Nothobranchius furzeri: one gene and its partners. The protein of the gene in region 1 binds, or shares a complex with, the protein of each later gene. Links are inferred from orthologs where the notes say so. Each region holds a gene or a part of one and is shown in the gene's direction. Other genes may lie near its edges.

Region 1 (6,091 bases):
AAATTTAGTCTGCAAGATTGCTCTTCTGTCACCTGGCAGGAGGTAATCACGTGGCAGGAAGAGTTCTGTTCCTTTATGGTTGGAGGATATTTATTCACTTGAATACTTTTTATATTCTGTGGCCTAAAGATGGAGGCTGGGATTCAGAGTAAGGTGACACCACTTCTATTGTTTGCGTTGCATTATGTTATTGTTTACAAACTCCTCACTGCGTGTTCCTTGTAGCTTGTTGACTCTGTCAATCAATATGACAACTTTGACCACTGCATCCAATTTGATTTGCTCTATTGAATGAGATATCCCGTATTGATGCTTTGATCTGAAAGTGATTATGTGTGGAACAGAATTAATTTCATCACGTATTCCAGTCTGACGCCATGGAGGCAGTCTCTGTCCACAGACTGGCTGGCATCACGTCTTTGGACCCGTTAGCATGCCTTCGGCTCCAACTGGACTAAACGGTAGTGGGCCAAGTGTGCACCGTCTACTGAGCAGACGCTGATCCAGCTCTGATGTGTCTCTGACGTGCAGACCTTTTCTCTGAGTGTTCGTGACACATGTCCCTCTGTGACAAAGATCAGACACATTTCCCAACTCACTCCCCCGACTTCACCCTTCCCGCTCGTGCAGCATGATCTGGGTCGAAGGGCAGTCGGTTTGAAACCGAGCAATCCCCCTGCAGGCTCTTGCCCTCTGTCGGTCAGACGGTTTGCAGGAGTGCAGGAGCCAGAGCAGCCCAGAGCTGCATGATTGGGGGGTGGAGGTGGATCTTATCTTCGTATGGAGCTTATCTGTCACAGTTCAATAAGGGCTATTCCAACCAATGCAGCAATCTGTCAGACAATAAATGGGCGTGGTTGTTCTTGGTTTCCAACACTTTGATTGGACAACTTTCAAGCTCTGGTGAGGAAGGCCAATGTGCATGGTTACAAATCACACAATGTAAACCAACCACTCAGACTTCAGTTTGTATGCTCATTGATGGGTTTTCCAAAACTATTTTCAGTGACTGTGCACTCACTAAACAGTTGTTTACTGTATGTGCTGCACATCATGTGTGATGTTACACGTATGGGGAGTGTTTGTTCAACTTCTCTTCCCCACAAACCCATGCCCTTTGACACAAACACGTGCTAATCTCTGTAAAAGGTGGCCTCATAAATATGCATGGTCTCTCCTCTGTTGTGGGAGGAAACGCGGCTTCGGCTGTATTTAAATGGGAAGTCTGCTCCAGCCTCTCCACCTGCGAATGCCTGATCGTGCCAAACACTTGGGAGAAATTCACATTTTTGACGTCTGCCTTAGAGTGAGTATCATTCATTAGCCAAATGTCTTTGTGATAATTGTTTTTTCCACAAAAGAACACTACATTAAACTATTATTTTTCTTCCAGCAGAATCATTGCATATCAGAAAATGGACAGCACCAACGAAATCATCCTTTTTGCCAAGGAAATGCTGAGACAGAAGCCCAGCTGGAGCATGCTTAAGATCTACATGCTCGGCTCGACTCTGGCGATGATCGGGATGGTCGGTGGTGTGGTGGAGATGATTCTCCAGCCCTTTTTAGACAATCACAGCCCAGGGGAAGAACAAGCAAAGTTCTACATCGAGATGAATAAGGAAAACAGTACGAGCAAATCAGACTCTGCCACAGTTCATGCCGAAGTTGAGGACATGATGGGAGCAGTATCGTTTGGAGCCAAGACTAAATATCTGGGGACATCTATCCAGAGAAGCTCAGCCAACCGCTTACATGCTTCTTAAAGAAACACTCCACACCACTTAAAAGGACAAAGATATACCAGTATTGTTGGTGGTGGTGGTGGTGGTAGCCTGCATTACCAAATCAAGCAGCTCATTTTTTATTCTTTAATTTATTTCAGATATGGTTAAATGTGTAGTTTTTCTTAGCTGGTGGCTAAAACTTAGCTGAAATGTTACAATAAAAACTGCAGGATACAGTTTAGTAATGCTGCTGGGCAGCAGGTTCCAATGGCTGACATGCACTGGGTGTCTATGGAGCTCATGAAATGCCATTCGTGTCATTCATTTTGTACTTAAATAAACATTTTTTCTGCTCGCAGAATTTTGGCCCTAATTTAAAGCGCCCACAGATTCAGATTTATTCGACTTTAACGGTAGAGGTTTAAGCTTTATGCATGAGGAGAATTTTATTGAGTAAAACAAAAAGTAATGTGTATTTAGCACTGTTCGCAGAAAAAATATCACCAAGGGCTTCACAAATAAAAACTGTAAACACCGCATACAACCTGTGTAAAAATGTGCTCGTAAAAACAAAAGAACATAAAATAAGGTATAAAAAAATTCTAACGTAATGTGTTTTCAGCTGTTTCTCAACACAATCTTTTCAATAAGAGCACAAGGACAGAGCTAAAGTGTGGGAGCCACTGCTCGAAAGGCCCGACCACCTCTGGTAACCAGTAAGCAGTAAAACTGGGGAGATGTGCGCCCTTACTGGTACGTTATGTCAGCAAATAGCCACTAGATGGCAGAGTGAAAGACTCTAATACTCAATTTCACTTCCGCAACAAAAGCGGAAATTACGTCATAGTATGAGCTGTGTTTACAATCGACGGTGAAGCGGTTTCTGGATAAGTAGAAATAGAAGAAGAATTGCATTTGTTAGAGAAGGAAACCTGGAGCTAACCTCTTATGGCGGATCCAGCGGTAGTATCGGGAGGGTCGCTGCCCTCCTGCGGGGTAAGAGATGCTTTTTAGGGCATTAGAACGCGCCAGCTAGCTTACAAGCGCCTCTCATCGCCACAGTTATTACTACTGTAAATAAACATGTTGGTCCTTGGCACGAGCAGTAGTATTTCGATAGATATTTACATTAAGCTAGCACCTTACAACGCCAGGGTTTGTGTGTGTGCTCTTTCAGCGTGGCGCTAAAGCGGCTTCCAGCGCCGCGGAGAACTACCAGCTGGCCCGCCGTCGCACCCTGCAGGTTGTTGTCAGCGCCCTGCTGACCGAGAGCGGCTTTGAGAGCGCAGAGAAGGCCGCGGTGGAGACGCTCACGGAGATGATGCAGAGCTGTAAGTGTTTACAAACAGTAGCTTCTGTCCGCTGAGCACGAGCTTCCAACACCAGGTTAAGGCTATTCAGATGAATGCATGTTTACGTCTAAACTTCACTTGATCTAATCAGTCTAGGTTAGTTTAAAGAGCAAGTCACCCCCAAATCAACTATTTTTTCTGATAAACTATATAAATGCGTGTCTAATCGTGCTGCAGACACGTGTGGTCAATAGTTTTGCACTTTAGTGCATTTTAGTTAAAATTTAAATTTTCTGCCTTAAACTGTCAGTGTTGTGCCGTTGTCAGGTAAAAACTCTTCACTGCATTTGAATTTAAATCTGCCACCGCTATTGGCTAAGAGGTATGCTATGATGTAAACTGGTACATTATGATGTCACAATGTCGTGCGTGTGTGTATTTGTTAGTGGCTCCACCCTCTCGGTCTGCTAGGCAACAGCATTTGTTGCATTTTTCAAACATGAAGTGGGAGTGGAGTACGCTTCTTGTAGGGGGTGACTTGCTCTTTAAAGAGCCTCCGTCCTCTATGTTTCAGCTGTTTCTGCTCCATCTGGGGCCCCATTTATAAACAAAACCGGGTCTGAAAACCGCGTGTGTCACTTTCCACGCACATTTATAAAGAAAACCTGACAGGAAAATGCGCACAACTTTAGGCAAACCCCTGTGGAGTCAGGGAAACTAGCAGCACAGCAGGTGAGATGACAAATGGTGAATTCAAGCCGCATTTGGACCCTCGTGTCTGCGCACGCACACACACAAACACACACAACCACAGTCAGCTCCCTCACCCGTCTCTGAATAAATAAAATGAGAACTTAATAAAAAATATGTCGCTGTTAAGAGATCACAATGTGTTCAAATGAACGTCTTCAACCGGAGTCACGTCCAGCGTTTAAAGAAGTTAAATAAGAACTAGTGACTGCAGGTTATGACTCTGAGAGCTTCTATCCACTACTGTGTTGTACGATTGGTGCTGGCCTTTGATGAGGTATTTGTTTGGTTGTTTAAAAGCGTGCCTGTAGAGTTTTTGAAATACTAATGGTATCATTTTCCTGTAAAGATATAAGTGAAATAGGTCGTTGTGCCAAAGCATACTGTGAACACACGGCCAGGAGCGTCCCAACCCTCTCTGACACGGTGGTCACACTCATTGAAATGGGTAAGACTGAAGGTGCATCAGCATGGTGACATGTTTTTTTTTTACTGTGAACACACTCCTAATCGGTGATTGTTTGTCCTTGGAAAGGTTTTAATGTCGACACTCTCCCCGTGTACGCCAAGCGGTCACAGAGGATGGTCATTACAGCTCGTAAGAAACAAAACCTGACATTTCTGCTGTTAGAGCTGTGATGATACCCTAGGATATCAAGTAACGAGTCACGGTTGTAGGCTAGTTTTAAGTTCTACATGTTTGTATTTCCTGATTTTTAGCTCCAGTCACGAACACACCAACAACACCTAAATCCCTGTCAGCTGGGCACAAGCGCACTCACCCACCTCATATTCCTAGCCACTTCCCAGAGTTTCCGGACCCTCATACCTACATCAAAACACCTGTAAGTTCATCAACATAATCTCCATAATAGCCCTATAAAACCACGTTCACCCCCATAGTGGGTGATGTTGCATAAACAGGTGTTTTGCGAGGCTCTCCTTCCTTCCCTCAGACATTCAGAGAGCCTGTGTCCGAGTACCAAGTGGTGAGAGAAAAGGCAGCGAACCAGAGGAGAGACGTAGAACGGGCCCTCACACGCTTCATGGCCAAAACTGGAGAAACTCAAAGCCTCTTCAAAGACGACGTCACGGCCTTCCCATGTGAGGGATCCCGACTGTACATTACCCGTCAGATTGTGTGTAACCCTGTGCATTAATACAGAATAACACATTGCTGTTGTTAGTGATCGCAGCTCGGCCAAGCACCATCCCATATCTGAGCGCCCTCCTGCCCTCGGAGCTGGAACTGCAGTCGCTGGAGGAGACGGACTCCTCTGAGCAGGACGACCAGACCGACAGCGAGAACACAGCTGGAAATATGGTGACAGTAAGTCTTCACAGCTGGGAATTGGTGCCAGGCGCAGTAGAGTAGTAGTAAAAATAACTTTTTGAAGGTGCCATTCTGAAGGTCTAAACTAAGAGGAACAGGGCAATAAAAAGCAGCACTTAGGATTGAAACAGAGAGAGTCGCAGCTACACTGCGGAGTGTGTTAGAACGGTTAGGAGTAATAGGAAGGATAAGGCGCTATCCAAAATAACACAAGAGCTCTTTATTGGTACTAGTGTGGTGTTAGTGGAGTAATCAACAGAGATACGTTTCTGCGATTAGCCAGGGATGGTTCAGTGTCCAGAAGAAGTTTGATCTGAAATGAACTTAAAACAGTTGGAGGCAAACCAGTCTCTGATTTCAGCAGCAGACCTGCCAACTTGTACGCAATCTGGCATCTATTTACGCTGGTACGACTCACCCCTCTAAACTACCTGAGTTGAGTTCTGTGGCGAATATGCACGTGTGGTACTCATGTCTGACTCAGCGGCGTGGTGAAGAAGTTTAAGCCAATCATCGTAGAGAAGCAGAGAAAAGCTATCCTGCCTAACCTAGCGTAACACCCCCGCCCCCCTCCTCCCTGCTTCGTCCTGCCCGCTGCTCCTCTCTCCTGTGTGTGTGTGTGTGTGTGTGTGTGTGTGTGTGTGTGTGTGTGTGTGTGTGTGTGTGTGTGTGTGTGTGTGTGTGTGTGTGTTTGTCTTTATCCATTGCAGATAGATTTGGCCTGTATATAAGGAGGAATGTGATTATTTATACAGTTTAAACAAGCAGCCATTATTTTATTTTCGCAGCTCGTTTTGCAGCTCATGCTACGGCAGATGAGGGAGAAGCGGACAGGGAGGGATTGGTTAGCAGACCTGCCAAACAGAAGAGGATCCATGTGTCTCACAAGTTTTTGTCCAAATATCAAGAACAGTGGCCATGCTTGCGACCCTCTAAACAATCTCAGCATGCATTTTGCACAATCTGCAATTATGATGTGGACATAAGCC
Region 2 (6,235 bases), about 14 Mb from region 1:
CACAAGTATGTAAACGTTCATATTTTCTGACTTTATCTGTGAGGCGTTCTTCAATATGTTTCCATGTCTGCCGCTTCATATCTTTTTATTTTTTGAAAGGGCAATGGCGATGCTGTTGACGAAATTAAAGGAAGCAGCATCCTAACCAATTACATGCTTGCAGTCTCCGTCACTTTCGACGGATATTTAAAAAGTTGGCTATGTCTCTGTCAGCCGCTGTTATCCCATTGGAGAGCCCTTACACCGACGTATAATGGCGTTGTGTGTCTCGGCACCCAAGCAGACGCAGAAGTATACATTATGCTTTGCACATTGGCACCAGAAGATTCTGGATGACGAGTGAAGACGAGTCATACTAAGTTAGTTGATAAGTAGATAAAAACATTTCACTGAAATGTTTGAGTTGTTGGTAGTTAAAAAAGTGGGTGGAGATTTTTCTAGAGCTGAATATTTGTTTCTAATTCACCATTAGCATTGTTAGCCCAACGTTAGCCTCTAGCCTTGTTTACCCAACATTAGAATAAAACAAAAAGATTCCGTGGCTTCTTTGGGGTACAAGAGAAAAAACCCTGGGCTGCTCCTGTTACCGGCTTAGCATCATTACAAAACGCTGCTGCGTATTGCAGCCGGTGTGGAATTACAAATGCCGGCACTGCAGCGTTATCCAGCACAGACTCAGTAACCCTGTGGGCTCACAGATTGTAAACAAAGACTGTGTCCCTTTTAGACCATTTTGAAAGGAGAAAAACTGACAACCTCCAGCCAGCTGAGAAGGAAATCTGATCAATGTAACCTTCCTTCCAACATAATTGAGACAGACTGTTTAGTGATTATTCCACTGTGAAATTCTTACACATTGTACCTTAAATATTAGCTGTATGTTGTTACTGAGTGATCGTGTTGAGATGTATAAATCTGGAAACTCTCTTTCCCTGTAGTTTGCTGTCTTCTTTTATTTTGAAACTATTTTAGATGCCATCTTGGCCAGGACTCAGTGGATCAGTGAATCTTATCACTTCAGTTAGAATAAAAGTTACATACAATAATAGTTCAAGAAACTCACCTGAATTCGTGTCCAAGTTTGCCTCCAAGTCGGCACTAGAGCATTTCTGTAGCAGAACCGGTTAGATCCTGACATGGTGAACTCTTCTCCATCCTGCAGATCAATTATTTGGGCTGCTTTCCCTGGATTTCACAAGCAGACATGTCTCTGGACTGGATAATCCTGTGAGATTATCATCTACTGCTAATTGTTAGAATGATTTATCTTTTGGATAAACCCAACTAATAGCTTATCCATGTGAAATGTAAAGGAATTGTACGAAAAGGGAATTGGGGTGATGTTAACTACTACATGTATAACCAACAGAATTAAAGAGGAACGTATGAAGCACCACTAAACTCACACAAGCAGTTTCACTTTGTGAAAGAAACAAGCTAACACTAATTAGCTGGATTAGCCTGAGTTAAAACACAATAAAGTAAGTGACTGTGTATTTTCCCACTTTGTAACACAGCTTCTTACCAGTACTCTGGAGTGAAGACTGGGGTAAACAGATAAAGAGTACAACGAAGACTAAAACTTTGGTTATTGCTGACTTGTAACAACAGTGTGTCGTTTTCACGCATCCCGCCATGGCCGTTCTACCTTAAGCTCCTCCCCTAACATCTACCACTTCCTTTTCCGTTTCTCGCGGCTCATTCCAGCCAATCACAGCGCTGGGTCGTCGTTGTTGTTGCACGTTAGCTTACGTTTGTTAAAGAGATAGTACGTTTTGTAAAAAAGAAGTATTATCTTACCTAAAGATAATTACTTCAAACTCCAGTTTCTAGCCTCATTGATATAAGGACGCTAACATGTTTTCTACTGATGTTTTACCCAATGACTAAAAATGACCAGAACCAACGTGTAGTTTCGGCTTTTCGCCACTAGAGGAAAGCAATTTACCTCTTCGTTCACAAAAAGCCAATGAAAAACTGAGTTTGAAGCAAGCTCCACACAGGCATCTTATCCAGGTAGATCCTTTTATAACAATTAAAGCCATTTTAAACCCGCTGTCGCATTTCTTATGTTACCCCTCCTTCACATTTTAACATCTCCTGTCGGGGACATAACAAAAGAGAAGGAGGAGGAGGATTTGAAGGAAATAAATCTGGATTAATACATGTAAAAGACTTCCTGAGTAGAAAGACTATCTAATTTCTTCCAAAGTCTGTTTTTTCCTTAAATGAAAAATATGAGCTCTATGCTGGTGGCAATAAACAGAACAGCACTATTTTACGTTCAAGATTCCCTAGAGTTTATGAATTCGCCTCATCAGCTACCCTCCAGTGCGGTAAGGGGCGACAACATTTTTTTTTTCCAAACGCCATTAACCCACGAAGAAGAAAAGGAAGAAGAAGAAGAAGAAGAAGAAGAAGAAAGAAGCGCTAGCTTAGCTTTTCACGTTTGTTGTGTGCTTTAACATATTATACAAATGTATCATGTTTAATCCACTTTCTGTTCACGGCTACCTAAAATACGTTTAAATTAGTTTTGTTGCTGCTTCCTGTGGTGTCGTTGAGCTCGTTCTGGCTTGAAGGTATGTATATGCTGTTATTTCTGTCGTGAAAATCCACCTTAACGGTAAATTTCATTTCTTTCTTTATTTAATAGGGACAGTGCATATTAATGAACTTCAACAATAAATTGCATCGGTAAATATGCCAGATTGTAGCACCAGTGCTAATTTACATCTGCAGTCCCTAGGCGGGTAATAAAAGCAATAAAAGAAAGTAAAGTATTGTATTTAAAACTAGGAAAAACAGAAAGAAAACACACAAAACACCACGGTGAGGACAAATTACTGATGGATACGGGTTTGGGTTTCCTGCAGCCATTGTTTGAATTTGAAGGAACTGCATGACTGTGAGTCACCTATGCTGAGTGGTAGACTATTCCAATATTTAGTCCAATATTTAGTTAGGATAGTGTGGTCGGGCCAAAAGCAGTGCGTCTGTAAGGCACCTCACAGTCTCCTCTATCTGTAGCCCTGGTCGACGTTCCACTGATAGACCGCGATTTATTACAATCTGTCAGTGGGAAAGGGGCTAGTCCATGTAAAACCTTAAAAAACAGGCAAGCATTCTTGAAGGTAACAAAGTTACTAAGATTAAGAAGTCTATATTTATCTAAAACAAAGCAGTGGTGGAAACTAAATGATTTCTTATCAAGGATTTTTATGGCTTTTAAAAAAAGGGATTCTATGGGTTTGAGTGTTGCACCAGCAGCAAGTGACCAGGAGGTTATACACTATTCCATGTGAGACAAAATCATAGAATGTAAAAATAACTTTGCAGCATGGAGTGAAAAAAGGTCTAACTTGTTAAAAAAATGACATTATAATTGACAGTTTTTTTTTAAAAGTTGTTTAATGTGATTCTTAAAAGTTAAGGTTGGGTCCAAAGTTAACCCAAGATATTTGAATTCTTTGACAATATCAAGTTCTACCCCTTCAAGAAAGATGTTTGATTTTTTTTAGTTCAATTGTTTGTTTTTTTTGGTGAAAAACATGCAAACAGTTTTTTTTTATGTTCAGCTTTAAGTGGGAACTCTTGACCCATTTTTGTACATGGGCCATGGTTGCAGTCAACAATTGGGAGGCTTCCTGAGGACGTTTAGTATCAGTAAAAATAACAGCATCATCTGCATACATTTGTATGTTTACTTTTGAACATACTTCGAGAAGATCATAAATATAAATGATAAACAAAATCGGCCCCAGAATACTGCCTTGGGGAACTCCAACTGGACAACTAATGTAGGAGGATTTATTGCCAAACAAGGACACATATTGTTTTCTGTCACACAGATAAGACTGAAACCAGAGCAGCGCCTCTGGTGAGAAATTAAAATGACTCAATTTGTTTAGAAGAATTTGATGATCGACGTGTCGAAAGCCTACTTGAGGTCTATGAACACAGCTCCTACACATGCATGCCTGTCAAGGAGACTTTTGACTTTTTCCACAAAGACACAATTTGCAGTCTCTGTGGAGTGGCAGTTACGAAATCCGAATTGCATTGGATGTAGGGATGTGTGTCCAAAATTTAAATATGCATTCAGTTGCTTTGCCACCCACTTTTCTGCAACCTTGGAGATAGTGGGGAGAATACTGATGGGCCGATAATTGGCCATTTCAGTTTCGTCAATTGGCGTGACTGCAGCTAGCTTCCATGCTAAAGGCACAACATTTTGTTTAAACGATAGAATAATTAAATGAGTTACCGGCTGAATTAGTGCATCTTTGTGCAGTTTTAAAAAATGGGTGTCGAGAGACCATATACATCCTTTGCCTTTGATTGGTTGCTGTCCACTTCTGTTATTTCTTCTATCCTGAAAACAGCATGACAAGGATTTACAGGATCAAAAACACCGTTAGACGGTGTGAATTGTTGAGTTATATCTCGAACTGTGTCAACAAAGTATTTATTCATTTCAGTAGCTATGATAAGAGGATCTTTCACCAGAGTATCATTTATTTTGATTTCAAGTTTATTAATAGCATATTTGGATTGTTTACCAGTTAATTGGTCTATATTTATCCAGATAAATTTATGTTGAGAACATTTTATGTTTGCAGAGGCTGAATCGTAGAGAGACGTCGAGAAACGATGGCAGATCCTGCTCGGATCAAAACAGAAGATTCTCTTCCGAAGACGGCAGCTTCTGCTATCGATGAAGAAGTAGTTAGGAAGGATCAACCTGAAAATGAACTCGTCTCAGAAAAACCTACAGAAGAAAATAAAGAACCGAGCGTGCAGGATCAGCCCACACCTCTGGTTAAAGCTGTGAGTGAAGCTAACCATAATGGTGCGCGGAAACATTGACAGGAGTTGATAGCTCTAAATAGTAAAACATGAATCTATAGAGAAGAGCCATAATTGAAGTTTCCTTACATTAAAACCTGTTTTAATTAAGATCAGCTTTATTTTAGCTGTGTTCTCAGGTGTGTAAATGTTTATGCTTGCATGAACAAAGTAGGTATCTTGTTACATCAAAGTGAAGATTTGTGGTGGTGGTGTGATGGTTTGGGCCTGATCCCCTGCATCTAATCCTGGACACATTATTACTAATAATAGGACAACTGGATATTTTATGTGTTTATATTTACAGCAGATAGAAACTTGTAGTTTGCTTAGACTCTTACGGGACATATTTTCTAATAAATAAATCAGTTTTGTGGTCATCATTAAACAAAAACCCACTATCTGGTACATGTCGCATAAAATGTGATTTCTGGTTTCATAAAACATCAGAGAACACATTTTTTGTTCAGGTGGTTAAACCAAATCACCCTTTAAGCCATTTGTTGTGAACTTTTTGCTCTTCTCCAATCTTTGTGTTAAACCTAAAAACGATAATTTAAGTACAAACAAAACACTTTGCTAAGGCCCGTTACCCCAAAATGAACAGTCTGTGTTAAGAACCCAAACAGTGTTTGTATAAAAGCAGCTAATGTAGTAACTGAACACTACGGTTCACTTTCTAAACCTGTGTGAAAATGTAGATGAAAGAGTTGTGTGTGCAGAAATCTGGAAAATTGAACAAATATTTATCAGTTTGGGCACTGCGGTTTAGTTGTGCCTGATTGTAGCATCACTCCACGTTTTTCTCCCTCTGCAAAGGAAACGACAGCAGGAGACGACGAGGATGAGGGAACCTCTGGCCAGCCTGCTTCTAAGAGGCTGAAGGTGGAGCCAGAGAAGAAAAAAGAGAAGCGCCACAAGGTCGATGAGGACGAAATACAAAAGATGCAGTAAGATCTTTGTACCTTCAGAGGTTCATCACTTCAGATCTTTAGCCAAAGATTAAACCCGCTTCTCCTTCAGAGTGCTGGTGTCATCCTTCTCTGAAGAGCAGCTGAACCGTTATGAGATGTACAGACGCTCTGCCTTCCCAAAAGCTGCTATTAAAAGGGTGAGCTGTTACATGGAAAACAGGCATCAGGGCTTTTTTCCCCCCTTAAACTAAAGTCTCTGATGTCGGTCTTTCTTTAGCTGATCCAGTCCATAACAGGATCGTCGGTGTCCCAAAATGTGGTCATTGCGATGTCTGGTATTGCCAAGGTGTTTGTTGGAGAGATTGTAGAAGAAGGTAAAGCGGAGGACCAATCAAACACAAACATGCCGTTCATTTAACTGAATTAAGAGTTCTCCCTTTTCCAGCTCTGGATGTTTGTGAGAAGTGGGGCGA
Region 3 (4,824 bases), about 7.5 Mb from region 1:
ACAGATGGAGCAATTCTAAATAACAGCAGGATAAAGAAGCCTGATCAATAACGTTTGACAGAAGAAATAAGATCAACGATGGAAAGTCAAAGCCTCAGCAGTTTCAACAGCCAACCTAACACTAAGAGCTGTAGCCCAACAGATGCTGCTCAATGGCCTAGTGGGAGTGTGTCCGCCCAGGGACTGGGAGGTCGGAGTTCAAATCCCAGTCGGGTCATACCAAAGACTTTAGAAAGGTCTCCCTGCTTGACACTTAGCTTTAAGGGGTTGGATTGGGGGGTTAAACCACCAAACAGTTCCTGAGCTGCCGTGTCTGCAGCTCACTGCTCATCCCCATGGGGAGCAGTGAGCTGGGTTAAATGCGGAGGACAATTTTCACCACACCACACCAGTGTGACTTGGGGATAACTATGGGACTTTTAATCTTTAATCCCTGGAACAACCTCTGACAACTTTAATCGGAGTGTGAGGATGTGAGAGACATTTTTCTAAGAGGTAAAGACATCTGTTAAATGCTGAAAATACACACATTTTTTGTTAGAAAGAAGTCCCACTTTTGATAAATGTGGAAAAATCAGACAATATTAGTCTGTGGTTATTTGTTTATTGCAGCTTAACACTATAGAGACAATCTGTTCATGTTTGACCTTCACCCACTTTTCTGAATCCCAGAATAACAGTCAAAGGATTTGAGTCCATGTACCTGTTGGAGCCACCTTAAAGATGTAGTCTCTCCAGCTCAGGATGACGCGAGGTTTGCCTGTCCAGCACTGCACGGCCCATCGTGTCACACAAGATAGACAGAAGATGATGACGAGATGAACCAGTGTCATGAACAGAGGATAATGGAAGCCCTGAGTGAGATGAAATAGTAGACAGGATTAACGAGAACCGCTGTTGGGAAAAAAAAATGGCAACCATAACTCCAGGAGACAGACATAATATGGATTAAGATGGGCACCAATCAAGAAACAAATAAGAAGCTCTAATAAAGTAACACTCTGGGAAAGGGAATGGGTCTCATTTACCTTCATTAGCCATTTGTTATAGAATGTGATGCCTATAGAGAAGACATAGTAGAGGAGGACCAGTCCAATAGTGCAAAGACCTCTGAAGAGGAACTGAACTGGGCACGCCATCCGGGACTTCCAGGACCAGCTGTCCAGAATGGACTGTTAATGCAGAGGGAGCATCTCCAAAATACCTCTGCACCCCACCACACCACCCATAATGGTTCACTAGAATAAGGACCTAAGGGGAAAAACAACAAACATATGAGATATGTTATTCGGATTCAACAGAACATCCTTATCTACAACAGATAATGTAAATATGTGAGATATAATTCAACTTAGATTATCTGAAATGACTGGGGGACCTCACCCTATACACCTGAAAGACACATCCGGTCTAGCTTTAACAAGCTCTAGCAGACAGCCATGACTTGTTAATGTAACTTAAAAATAAACTATTTTTTAAAATAAAGTTCTCAACTAAGGAGAGTTGTAAATAAAACCCTTCACTTCTAGGAGCGTTAAATTGTATTTTATTTACCTTTATTATAATTCTGACCAAGAACCATGCGATTTGGATTTGGAAGATGCTATAAAATTAAACCAAAAAGTCATTAAGACTGTGTTACCACAGCCACAGCGTTAGCCTACACAGCTAACAGCTAACGAGACATGTGGAGATGAACGGCGTAGCACACACATCCTACTTTACATCTAGATATAATATAAAGTGTGTCCGGTTTACCAGATGGCTTGTGAAGAATCATCACAACCAAGCAGTTGCTATCTTTAGCCGTTAGCTGACAGCTAAGCTAACGCAACTTTCGGATCTCTAAACGTTTTAACAACATTAACATAGAAACATTTAGTAGCTAACCAGCGACTCTAGTGTAGTTCTTACCGGTTCTGATCTTGTGTACACGTCTGAGCACAGAAAGAAAGAAAATAAGGCACTAGATATTTGAGCTAGTGTTTCTTTCCGCTATGTTTCTTCTTCTACGCCTTCAACGGAGGTTGACACATTATTCACAAATGCATGCTGGGTTAGAGAAGCAGAAAACAAAAACCGCCAAAAAGCTTCAACTTCATTATCATTCATGATATAGTTTGGCTAAGTAGAAACAAAAACACTCAAGAAAACAATTGGAATAGATGCAGATCTGAAATAAACCTAATATACATATGAAGTCGTTATTTTTTCCGTTTGTTGAATTCAGCCTGTCAGTGTGACTCTCATGGCTCTAATATTTATTAATTTATTTTGTTTATTTATTTATTTATTTGTGACTCGTTTCAATCTCGATTTTAAACAAGAATTTATTCAAAAGATTAGATCTGCGCTGACGTTTCAAACTCAGTCCAGTAGGTGGCGGTCATGCAATTTGAAGTTGGCGTGTCAAACGCTGAAGCCCAAAAATACCAAAGAAGAAGAACAACAACGAACGTAGAAGAGTCTGGGGATTGTTGTGATCCAGTTTTCAAAGTAAAATGTAATTTTTGTTCTCTAAAACGCATTTTGATGTTTGCATGTTGTAAGTGTGAGGTTTATCTTACAGTAAAGCGTCGTTAAGGCTCGTTTTATCGGCGTTTTCCTCCAGAATTAATGGCGGACGAGGAGGACGAGGCTGGCTTCGAGGAGGAGTTGGAGGACGGGTCCAGCGGAGTGGATGTCGGCCACGGCAGGAGAAAGAGACTCTTCTCTAAGGAGCTCCGGTGCATGATGTACGGGTTTGGAGACGACCAGAACCCGTACACGGAGTCTGTGGATATTCTGGAGGATCTGGTGATCGAGTTCATCACGGAAATGACCCACAAAGCCATGTCTATCGGGCGCCAGGGCCGCGTCCAGGTGGAGGACATCGTTTTTCTAATTCGCAAGGATCCCAGAAAGTTCGCCAGAGTCAAAGACCTCCTGACCATGAACGAGGAGCTGAAGAGAGCCCGGAAAGCTTTTGATGAAGCCAATTACGGCTCCTAATGAACTCGCGTTTGTTTGTCGCTTCCTGCTAACTGGTTTGTGTATTTTTTAGTGGTTCTCACTTGAATAACAGAACTGACTGTTTTAATGACATGTTTACACTGTCAAGTCATCGGAAACTCTCAAATAAAGTTAGTTTGTTTCAAATAAGTCCCAACACCAACAGGAAAACCAACATCTGTTATTTACATTGAAGAATGAAACTTTCTGCCAACGTGTTGGAAAGGATTGTTAAGGTTTTTTTAAGTGTTTCCATGGAAACTGCGTGAATAAATTAACATTTCATTATCTTTCCTGCTGTTTGGATTGGAGAGACTTTTGTGGTATATCAGGTGTTTCTGCAGTTTAAAATTAGAGTTTTTACACCTTAAATGTACCCGTATGTCGTTAGTTTCCTAACTTTGTTGCTGTCTGCAGAAGAGATGACCTGCTGTGGCACATCTGGCTGGGATTTCATAATTGTGAGTGTTAACCCTTTGATGCATAATGGTCACTACAGTGGACAGGTACTCAAAATTGTTATTTATTTGTTTTTGCACAAAGCACAGCTGTTGAAGACTTGATGGCATTTGAGCCCCTCCATTTGGACTTCAGTAAGTCAAGCCAACATGTTTCATGCTCAGAATGCACGCTGCCCACTGAGGTGGACATGTAATAAATTATTTGTAAATTATAAAAAAAATATATATTTGTTGAAATTTGTTTCATTCACACCTAAAGACGAATGAAAAAAATCATGGTTGAAGATTTCATAATTCATGCATCAAAGGGTTAAAGCATTTTGTAATAATGTTCACTCATCTGTTCAATCAGAACTAACCAGTTATGCCATTCAAAGATATATCTACAGTTAATCGCTCATAACATTTCCACAGAACACTTCAAAGGATCTAAACGCTTCCTTTGAAGTGTGCGTCAACAGCCATCAAGTGTTGAAGTACAACCAATCAGAGTGTTTTTCAGAAACCTTTAACCCAGAAATAGTCAGATCTGTTATTTATATATTTGCTGGACTTCAGTGTTGTCTCATATGAAGAAAAAGGTCCAATCCAGGCTTCGAGGTTCATTTCACACCTGCATGTTTGTGACCCTGGCTGGCTCACAAACGTGCAGATGTTCTAGTTTATGAAGATTTCTTTGAGTTCAAACAAACACAAATAAAAGAACAGCTTTGAAGAGCTGCTGGAGCGTAACATCACACCAACCTCAGGACAACTGGACGTCGTTTTTATTTTCTCTTGTATTTAGATCAACTGATTCTTTAAATAATAAACATTTATGTATCTGAACTGAGAATTAACCTTCATGGTCTCTCAATCTGAACCCAGAAACGGACCAAACACCAAGTCTGGGTTCTCCTCACACCAGATGAGACTTAAGTGTGTGTTTGGATAACACAAAATCTGGTGACAAAATGAAGAAACAAAGGCATTTTATTTAAATTCCTCAAAAACAAAGTACTTTTTACACAGACCATAAATATGACAGACCGACTACAAGTGAGCAGGTGTTAGTTCATTTATTCTTTTCAAGCTTCTTTTTACAGTGAAGAAATTGAATTAATTGGTCTAAGCAGCAGGTCACAGGCTGCCCTTCTATCTAGACTACATCTGGATCAGAACTTCACAAAGAGGGGGGTCGATGAAGACACCAAGCCTAGCAATCAGCAGAAGGTGTTGACTGAATTTCCTCATTGCAGCTTTGCTGTCCGGTGGCGGGGTCCAGTGTCAGCACAGCATCGGTAGCCTGCTGTCTGCCTTCAGAGGGAGTCAGCTCAGCCGGCGACCCCCACCAGGTGCCCTGCTGAGGATGTCTGCAAGGCTACAAGGATGG

Evidence for each region. The genes of interacting proteins can lie anywhere in the genome.
Region 2: taf8 (region 1) and taf11 share a complex: the UniProt entries of both Homo sapiens proteins name them as parts of the TFIID basal transcription factor complex. The link is inferred for Nothobranchius furzeri from reciprocal best matches to the Homo sapiens genes TAF8 and TAF11.
Region 3: taf8 (region 1) and taf13 share a complex: the UniProt entries of both Homo sapiens proteins name them as parts of the TFIID basal transcription factor complex. The link is inferred for Nothobranchius furzeri from reciprocal best matches to the Homo sapiens genes TAF8 and TAF13.

What each region holds. Positions count from the first base shown.
Region 1 is NC_091755.1:40,693,927-40,700,017, forward strand, and holds the start of taf8 (transcription initiation factor TFIID subunit 8), read left to right. Parts: upstream 1-2,547; 5' UTR 2,548-2,675; coding exon 2,676-2,723; intron 2,724-2,904; coding exon 2,905-3,058; intron 3,059-4,118; coding exon 4,119-4,217; intron 4,218-4,304; coding exon 4,305-4,367; intron 4,368-4,489; coding exon 4,490-4,614; intron 4,615-4,725; coding exon 4,726-4,873; intron 4,874-4,956; coding exon 4,957-5,099; intron 5,100-5,890; coding exon 5,891-6,088; 3' UTR 6,089-6,091. Other genes in the region: g0s2 (G0/G1 switch protein 2), read left to right, coding at 1,164-1,306, 1,394-1,766. UniProt on the Homo sapiens protein: The TFIID basal transcription factor complex plays a major role in the initiation of RNA polymerase II (Pol II)-dependent transcription.
Region 2 is NC_091755.1:54,207,803-54,214,037, reverse strand, and holds the start of taf11 (transcription initiation factor TFIID subunit 11), read left to right. Parts: upstream 1-2,392; 5' UTR 2,393-2,582; intron 2,583-4,622; 5' UTR 4,623-4,653; coding exon 4,654-4,830; intron 4,831-5,667; coding exon 5,668-5,798; intron 5,799-5,871; coding exon 5,872-5,959; intron 5,960-6,039; coding exon 6,040-6,136; intron 6,137-6,207; coding exon 6,208-6,235. Other genes in the region: nemp1 (nuclear envelope integral membrane protein 1), read right to left, coding at 1,064-1,185, 1,526-1,637. UniProt on the Homo sapiens protein: The TFIID basal transcription factor complex plays a major role in the initiation of RNA polymerase II (Pol II)-dependent transcription.
Region 3 is NC_091755.1:48,192,911-48,197,734, forward strand, and holds taf13 (transcription initiation factor TFIID subunit 13), read left to right. Parts: upstream 1-2,381; 5' UTR 2,382-2,496; exon of another isoform or gene 2,497-2,503; intron 2,504-2,569; 5' UTR 2,570-2,616; coding exon 2,617-2,991; 3' UTR 2,992-3,281; downstream 3,282-4,824. Other genes in the region: slc35c2 (solute carrier family 35 member C2), read right to left, coding at 704-854, 1,029-1,139. UniProt on the Homo sapiens protein: The TFIID basal transcription factor complex plays a major role in the initiation of RNA polymerase II (Pol II)-dependent transcription.